Macaca mulatta: one gene and its partner. The protein of the gene in region 1 purifies or fractionates together with the protein of each later gene. This does not show direct contact. Links are inferred from orthologs where the notes say so. Each region holds a gene or a part of one and is shown on either strand. Other genes may lie near its edges.

Region 1 (3,824 bases):
GCGCGATCTCAGCTCACTGCAAGCTCCGCCTCCTGGGTTCACGCCATTCTCCTGCCTCAGCCTCCCGAGTAGCTGGGACCACAGGCGCCTGGCTAATTTTTTGTATTTTTAGTAGAGACAGGTTTCACCATGTTAGCCAGGATGGTCTCCATCTCCTGACCTCGTGATCTGCTCACCTCGGCCTCCCGAAGTGCTGGGATTACAGGTGTGAGCCACCGCGCCCGGCCTTCTGTGTTCTTACATACACCTCCCATCCCCAGCTTTATCTTATATTTTCCCTGTCCCTGCCTTGCAGGAGCTCTGGTTGCTTTTATTCAAGAGCGGTATGTAGAAACGAAGATCTGCGCACTAGGTGTGCTCTTTGCTACTGGAAGGGGTAGCGTGGTTTTTTGTTTGTTTGTTTGTTTGTTTGGGATGGAGTCTTTGTCACTAGGCTGGAATGCAGTGGCGCCATCTCAGCTCACTGCAACCACCGCCTCCCAGTTTCAAGCAGTTCTCCTGCCTCAGCCTCCCAAGGCACACACCACCACACACAGCTAACTTTTTTATATTTTTAGTAGAGACAGGGTTTCACTTTGTTGGCCAGGTTGGTCTCGATCTCTTGACCTCGTGATCCGCCCACCTTGGCCACCCAAAGTGCTGGGATTACAGGCGTGAGCCGCTGCGCCCGGCCCGGTAGCGTGTTCTTAAAAGACCTAAAAGTTTTAAATAAAATGAGGGCCACAAGGTGAAATTATCCTTTATTAACTGTTCTTTTAATATCTTCTTAAGTTTTCTCCTGAGACTGGTGAACAGAGGCACCCAGAGCAAGGAAACTTAGGGGAAAGAAGGCAGTAATTAGGGAGGAGGAGGCGAAGAGGAGGAAGAAAGCATTTCATGGGATTACAGGAATGTCCCAACAACAGCCTCATTGTGATGAAGTCCACTAATACTATTTCCTCTCTTCTGTTTTTCAGAAAACGGTATTTTGTCTCCGAGTACACTCCCATCGATAGCAATATAGCTTTTTCTGTTAATGCAAGTGACAAAGGTAGGCATATTTGTCCATGAATAAAAGGGTTCAGATGATGCTGTCTGTCATGAGAGTATTCGTTTGCTCAGCGGGGTTGCGGCAGTGGATGAGGCGGAGTGCTAGTGCTGAGGACACGGCTGCGACCAAGGCAGACGTAGTCCTTGCCTTTGTGGCCCTACCATCTAGTCAGGGTGGCACAGCAGAACCAAGTAATTAATCATAGCTGGGGAGGCGCGAAAGCAGCAGGACAAGAGTGGGAATAGCAGGGCAGGGTTGAACCTCACCCTTCAGAGGCTCCTGTGTCGGTGTCTCATCTGTGGGGTGGGAACAGCGCTCATTGAGGGCAGCCAATAAAGGTGACTTTGCTGAGCAGATAGATAGCTGAGGGCAGGGGTCTCATATGTATCCCCAGGTGGGCTTGATTCCTGCCATGAGACAGCAGCTAATGCTTTCCCTGTTCCGACTTTCAGGAATGGCTTGGCTCTTAACCTCCACCCTCCCTTCCTCTCCCGCTCTTCCAGGAGAGGCGTCCTGCTGCGACCCTGTCAGTGCAGCCTTTGAGGGCTGCTTGAGGCGGCTGTTCACACGCTGGGGGTCTTTCTGCGTCCGAAACCCTGGCTGTGTCATTTTCTTCTCGCTGGTCTTCATTGCTGTGTGTTCGTCGGGCCTGGTGTTTGTCCGGGTCACAACCAATCCGATTGACCTCTGGTCAGCCCCCAGCAGCCAGGCTCGCCTGGAGAAGGAGTACTTTGACCAGCACTTTGGGCCTTTCTTCCGGACGGAGCAGCTCATCATCCGGGCCCCTCTCACTGACAAACACACTTACCAGCCGTACCCTTCGGGAGCCGATGTACCCTTTGGACCTCCGCTTGACATACAGATATTGCACCAGGTAACCTGCTGTTTGAAGAAATAAGTCACTCCAGAGGACCTTGTGGTTTGCTGCCTTTTATATGTTGACTACTGCTGGATGGGGATTTGGGGCTGAATGTCACAGTATATCTTGAAAATTTTAGCATATAATGGCAAAGCTGCCTTTAAGTTAGGTTAAAAGAAAGTGAATGATGTAGAACTTAATGAAAATATTTATTGCTGCTCACTTTTGTATTTACTTCAGATAGTAGATCTTGCCTTTTTCTTGAAATTGAGATGAGCAGAGAAAGAAGACTTCAGTGGCATTTGTCTATTGAGGCGGGATGTATTTATTAGGAAGTCACCTTAGGAGTTTGCGAATGTTTTCTGGTGGTAACTGAAAGTAATATGCAAGGACCCAGAGGCATGAAGCCCTTACTGCTGTCCTGGGGGCTGAGGAAGGAGGTGCCAGGTCACCATCCCTGATCCAACCTGTAGGAATGAACTTATCACTGCCTGAATGTGGGCACCCAGCCTGTTTTTGGTGACAGGTGCATTTGGGGCAAGATCCATCCTGTTGCTCCTAGAAAGGCGTGTAAACCTTCCCATTGTCCCTGTCACACTTGCCTTGGAGAACTGTACCTGTGCATAAACTATACCCGCTTCTTTTTTAATGAATGTATAATCACATGGTTTTTCCTTTAAACATTGCTCATGTCTACAAGAAAATCTGAAATCTTGAAAAGCATTAAAATGGTCCTAAGACTTGGATAGAATCTTTTCTCTACCCGGTGACTGTCTGTTGCTTTTTCCAGCTTGTTGCTGAAGGTGAACAGCATAGTCATTTACCTCCAAGATCATCTTCTATGTTAGGAAATAAGGGGACACATGTAAATGGCTGTAGTGCAGAGCAAGGCAGGAGGTTTTGTGTTATTATTGAGGGGAGGGTCAGGGAGACCAGGAGACCCCTCCGCTCTCCCCTCTGGCCTGCTGGCCACTGCTGGAGCAGGGTAGAGGGAGATGGTTGTGTGTCCTGTGTTGATAGCTGTTCTGGTCATGGTGTCCCCCACCCCCTGCCGCCTCTGTGGACGCGTCTAACCAGTTTGCTGTTAGAGTGGGCCTGACCCGTTCTCTTAATGTATCGCGCCTTAATGCTCTCCCTCGTCTTAGGAAGTATTTTCCCCAAATACTCTTTGTCTTCTGACCCCTCAGGGCAATACTGACTAGTCAAGATCTGAGAGAAATGTGATGTGTTTCTGGGTTTGCTTATTTTTGAAATCTTCTTTCAGGTTCTTGACTTACAAATAGCCATCGAAAACATTACTGCCTCTTACAACAATGAGACTGTGACACTTCAGGACATCTGCTTGGCCCCGCTCTCACCATATAACACGAACTGCACCATTATGAGTGTGTTAAATTACTTCCAGAACAGCCATTCCGTGCTGGATCACAAGAAAGGGGACGACTTCTTTGTGTATGCCGATTACCACACGCACTTTCTGTACTGCGTACGGTAAGTGGCAAGAGACAGTCATTGGTGGACAGCATTCTTGGGTCTGACCTAGGGTATATGGGCATAAGCTTGTTTTATGAGCATAACCCAGAGGTGAGCAAACAGAGCAAGTCCTTGCCCTGTGAAGCTTACATCTTTTTTTTTTTTCTTTTTTTTTTTTTTTGAGACAGGGTCTTGCTGTGTCACCCAGGCTAGAGTGCAGTGGCGCAGTCTGGGCTCGCTGCAACCTCTGCCTCCGGAGTTCAAGCGATTCTCATACCTCAGCCTCCTGAGTAGTAGCTAGGACTACAGGTGTGTGCCACCACGCCCAGCTAATTTTCGTATTTTCAGTAGAGATGGGGTTTTGCCATGTTGGCCAGGCTGGTCTTGAACGCCTGACCTCAAGTGATCCCCCCCACCTCGGCCTCCCAAAGTGCTGGATTACAGGCGTGAGCTGCCACACCC
Region 2 (3,539 bases), on another chromosome or scaffold:
GAGTGTCTTGCCAAGGAAGAGTGGCCTCTTTTTTATTGGGTTTGTATGCTTTGCATGGGACTTTATACCAATTGCTTTCATAGGGTTAGCGGTGGTTGCATGTTAGTAATCCCACAGAATTAGGGCCACTCAAGTTGAGAGTGGGTCATTACACTTCAAGAACATAAAGCTGGTTGAAAATGTGGCTAAAAGAGAATCATGTGTACCCCTACTCCCGGTTCAGTGTATATTAGCCTACGGCTTCTTTTACTTTAAACTCGATGAATATTTTAAATTTCTAATGAAATTAAAAATTTCTAATTTCTAATGAAATTAAAAATATTGCCTATCTAGGGCCTATCTATGCCTATCTAGGGCATAAGCATGTAACTTCCAATCATTCCTTCCAAAAATGCACTTGATAAAAAAAAATAGGAGCATACATACCATCCAAGCATTATGGTGCTCTTTTAGAAAAAGGAGACCTACCTTCCCCATAGCTCTGTATTTTTCATTTAGCAAAGAATAAAGCAGCTCTTTCAGAAATTTTTGCATAGAGTAATTGGAATTTAAATTTAATAAAACCCTCACCTAACTGGTCTTAAAAATGAAATTGTTTTTAGCATATAAATCTCTCACCTGAAGCATTGTACTATGGCAATTTCATCATCCATCTCTCTGCAGGTGTTTATTGAGTGCCTATTCATTCTCGGCATGTCAGCTTTGTGAGGCAGGTAGAAATTGAACAGTCAACCTTAGTTTGACTAATAACTAAGCAAGGGAAATTAGAAAAATCCAGGAACTGAGTGAATGGAAGCTAGGTAAAGGTTACTGACTGCCTAACCAGCTCATCAGCCAATCAGGCTGTCTCCAGCTCTGTACTGTGGACAGCTCTGTCCTTACATGTAATTGTTAAACTCTACATTTCTTGCTGTCAAAAAACATGCCTTGATGGCACTAAGTTCCCTCTTCTTTTATAGTAATCCTGCCATAATTGCTAAATGACCTGTGTTCAGATTACCTGGTACCATACAAAATGGTTCTCTGGCAACAATATTATAGTATATTGTATATGAATATATTCATGTGATTTCAGCTCATCTTTTCCTCTTACCAAAAATTTAAAGCACATGTTGTGTAAATCATATGAGTATTTAATATTTAATATGGAGACTAACAGGCCTTTTATTTCCTCTCACATGCTATTTTTCTTTTTCAGTGTGAATGACATCACAGCTGTTGGACCGGCACATTTCTATGCCACAAATGACCACTACTTCTCTGATCCTTTCTTAAAGTATTTAGAAACATACTTGAACTTACACTGGGCAAATGTTGTTTACTACAGTCCCAATGAAGTTAAAGTGGTAGCAGAAGGATTTGATTCAGCAAATGGAATCAATATTTCACCTGATAATAAGTACGGCCCCTTATAGAATATCTTCATTTTTCTTCAGTTGTGGTGCTGGCCAAATTCTTTACCTTGCTTTCTTTGTCAATGTGAAAATAGTTTTCTTGACATTTATGGTGTATTATACATATAATATGTAGATACACTATATATATAATTATGTATATTTTGTATATATATTTACATATAATACATACTTAGTCACATTATTTATATGCAAATATAATACCATATATTTAAGTATACTATATAATACAATAATATATGTGTATTTACATATAATATATAAAGTTTGGAATACATCATTGTCAAATTTAATTTTATAAATATAAATTTTAAAGTGTGATCATACTGATGCATACATATTGAAGTATCAGGTATTTCCTTTCAAATAAATGTGTTATTATTTTTGTTGGCTATATATTCCATTATATATATATTATTCCATTATAAGGATGATCTTAAACTAATTTAACCAATTCTCTATTGATGGATATGTGTATGGGGGTGGGGAGTTCTACATAAAAAGTTGTATACTTCTTATGTACCATGGAAGTTTAAACAGGTATTTTTTTTTTAAAGGAAAAGTCCCTAAGATAGGGTTTTCTTTTTTTGGAGATGGAGTCTCACTCCATTGCCCAGGCTGGAGTGCAATAGCGTGATCTCAGCTCACCGCAACCTCTGCCTCCTGGGTTCAAGTGATCCTCCTGCCTCAGCCTCCCGAGTAGCTGGGATTACAGGCATGCGCCACCATGCCTGGATAATTTTGTATTTTTAATAGAGATGGGATTTCTCCATGTTGGTCAGGCTAGTCTCCTAGTCTCGAACCTCCGACCTCAGGTGATCTGCCAACCTCAGCCTCCCAAAGTGCTGGGATTACAGGCATAAGCCACCGCACCCAGCCCTAAGAGAGTATTAAAACATAATGGTTAAACTCGCAGATTTTTGACTCATACAGGCTTGGGTTCAAATCCCACTGAAGGCACTGGCTAAATGGTTCTATGAGCTAATTTTCTGTAGAACAGACCCCTAGAAATAGAACGATTTTCTCAAAGAGTGTGATTCTTTTAAATGTTAACTTTAATAGATATTGCCAAATTGTCCTCCAAAATTATCTCATTATATTTATATGCGCAACCACAACCTATAAGAGAAGATATTAAATTCTTTATTAGCTTTCTTATCTACTGCCTCAGCACACTGAAAAATTTAAACTACTACAAATACAACATAAAATAAATTTGGCACCCCTTGACAACTAAATGCCCTTATTTTTGTGATCCAGTTTCTCCTCCTTTCTTGTTGACTATAGAAAAAGAATGTGGAATCATTTAATTTAAATTGTCTCTAACTGACCTGATCCAACCTCTGCAGCCAAGTCTGTTTTTCACTCTTATATTTCCATTATGAGAGTCAAACTTTCCAGTCACCCAATCTAACAAAAAAATAACAATAATGAAAAGGGGGATTCAGCTTTTACTCCTCTTTCACTATTCCTATCCAGCCTGTAGGCAGGTCCTGTTGGTTCTACCTGTGCCTCCTTCCTCTACCCCCAAACTCCTTTCCCTTTGAGACCTGCCTAGTTTAGGTTCTTATCTTCTCTGACTAGCATATGAGACTTTCTTCCAATCTGTTTTCTGTCTACTTGGATTTTTTGCACTCTTGCCAATTTTTTCTTTCTATGTCTATCAGCCTTGAAGGGCTCCCCAAAGGGGGAACTCTGTCTTCCTCACCTTTGACCCCTCATGCCAGCACAGTGCCAGGCACAAAGCAAATGCTCAGGAATTGTGGAACAGAACTGACCATTTGTTGCCACTTTATTATTCTAAGATTTCAGTGGAATCCAATTGCTTTTCACATCAAGGCAGAGTAAAGGGTTGAACTTTCATAGGCCAGCTCCAACTTCCCTTTTTACTGTTTCCATGCTTTCTATGCTTTAGACAAAGAACTCATTGTTTTAAACATTCCTTCATCTTGTTGCTCCTGTGATTCTGCTCTTGTGCTTGCTTCTGCCTGGAAAGTGCCTCCTCCGTCCTCATCTCCTCAAATCTCGTCTCTCCTTACATAGCCACTGCAGATGCCCCTTCCTTGGTGAGCCTTTCTGTGTCCTCAGAAGTTAGCTATTTCTAGACCTGAACTATTTCTCATG

Evidence for each region.
Region 2: the proteins of NPC1 (region 1) and PON2 purify together in Homo sapiens (affinity purification with mass spectrometry; 3 studies listed by BioGRID and IntAct, with this or other methods). This does not show direct contact. The link is inferred for Macaca mulatta from reciprocal best matches to the Homo sapiens genes NPC1 and PON2.

What each region holds. Positions count from the first base shown.
Region 1 is NC_133423.1:68,847,970-68,851,793, forward strand, and holds part of NPC1 (NPC intracellular cholesterol transporter 1), read left to right. Parts: intron 1-956; coding exon 957-1,030; intron 1,031-1,482; coding exon 1,483-1,904; intron 1,905-3,153; coding exon 3,154-3,380; intron 3,381-3,824. UniProt on the Homo sapiens protein: Intracellular cholesterol transporter which acts in concert with NPC2 and plays an important role in the egress of cholesterol from the endosomal/lysosomal compartment.
Region 2 is NC_133408.1:123,971,514-123,975,052, forward strand, and holds part of PON2 (serum paraoxonase/arylesterase 2), read left to right. Parts: intron 1-1,198; coding exon 1,199-1,399; intron 1,400-3,539. UniProt on the Homo sapiens protein: Capable of hydrolyzing lactones and a number of aromatic carboxylic acid esters. Has antioxidant activity. Is not associated with high density lipoprotein.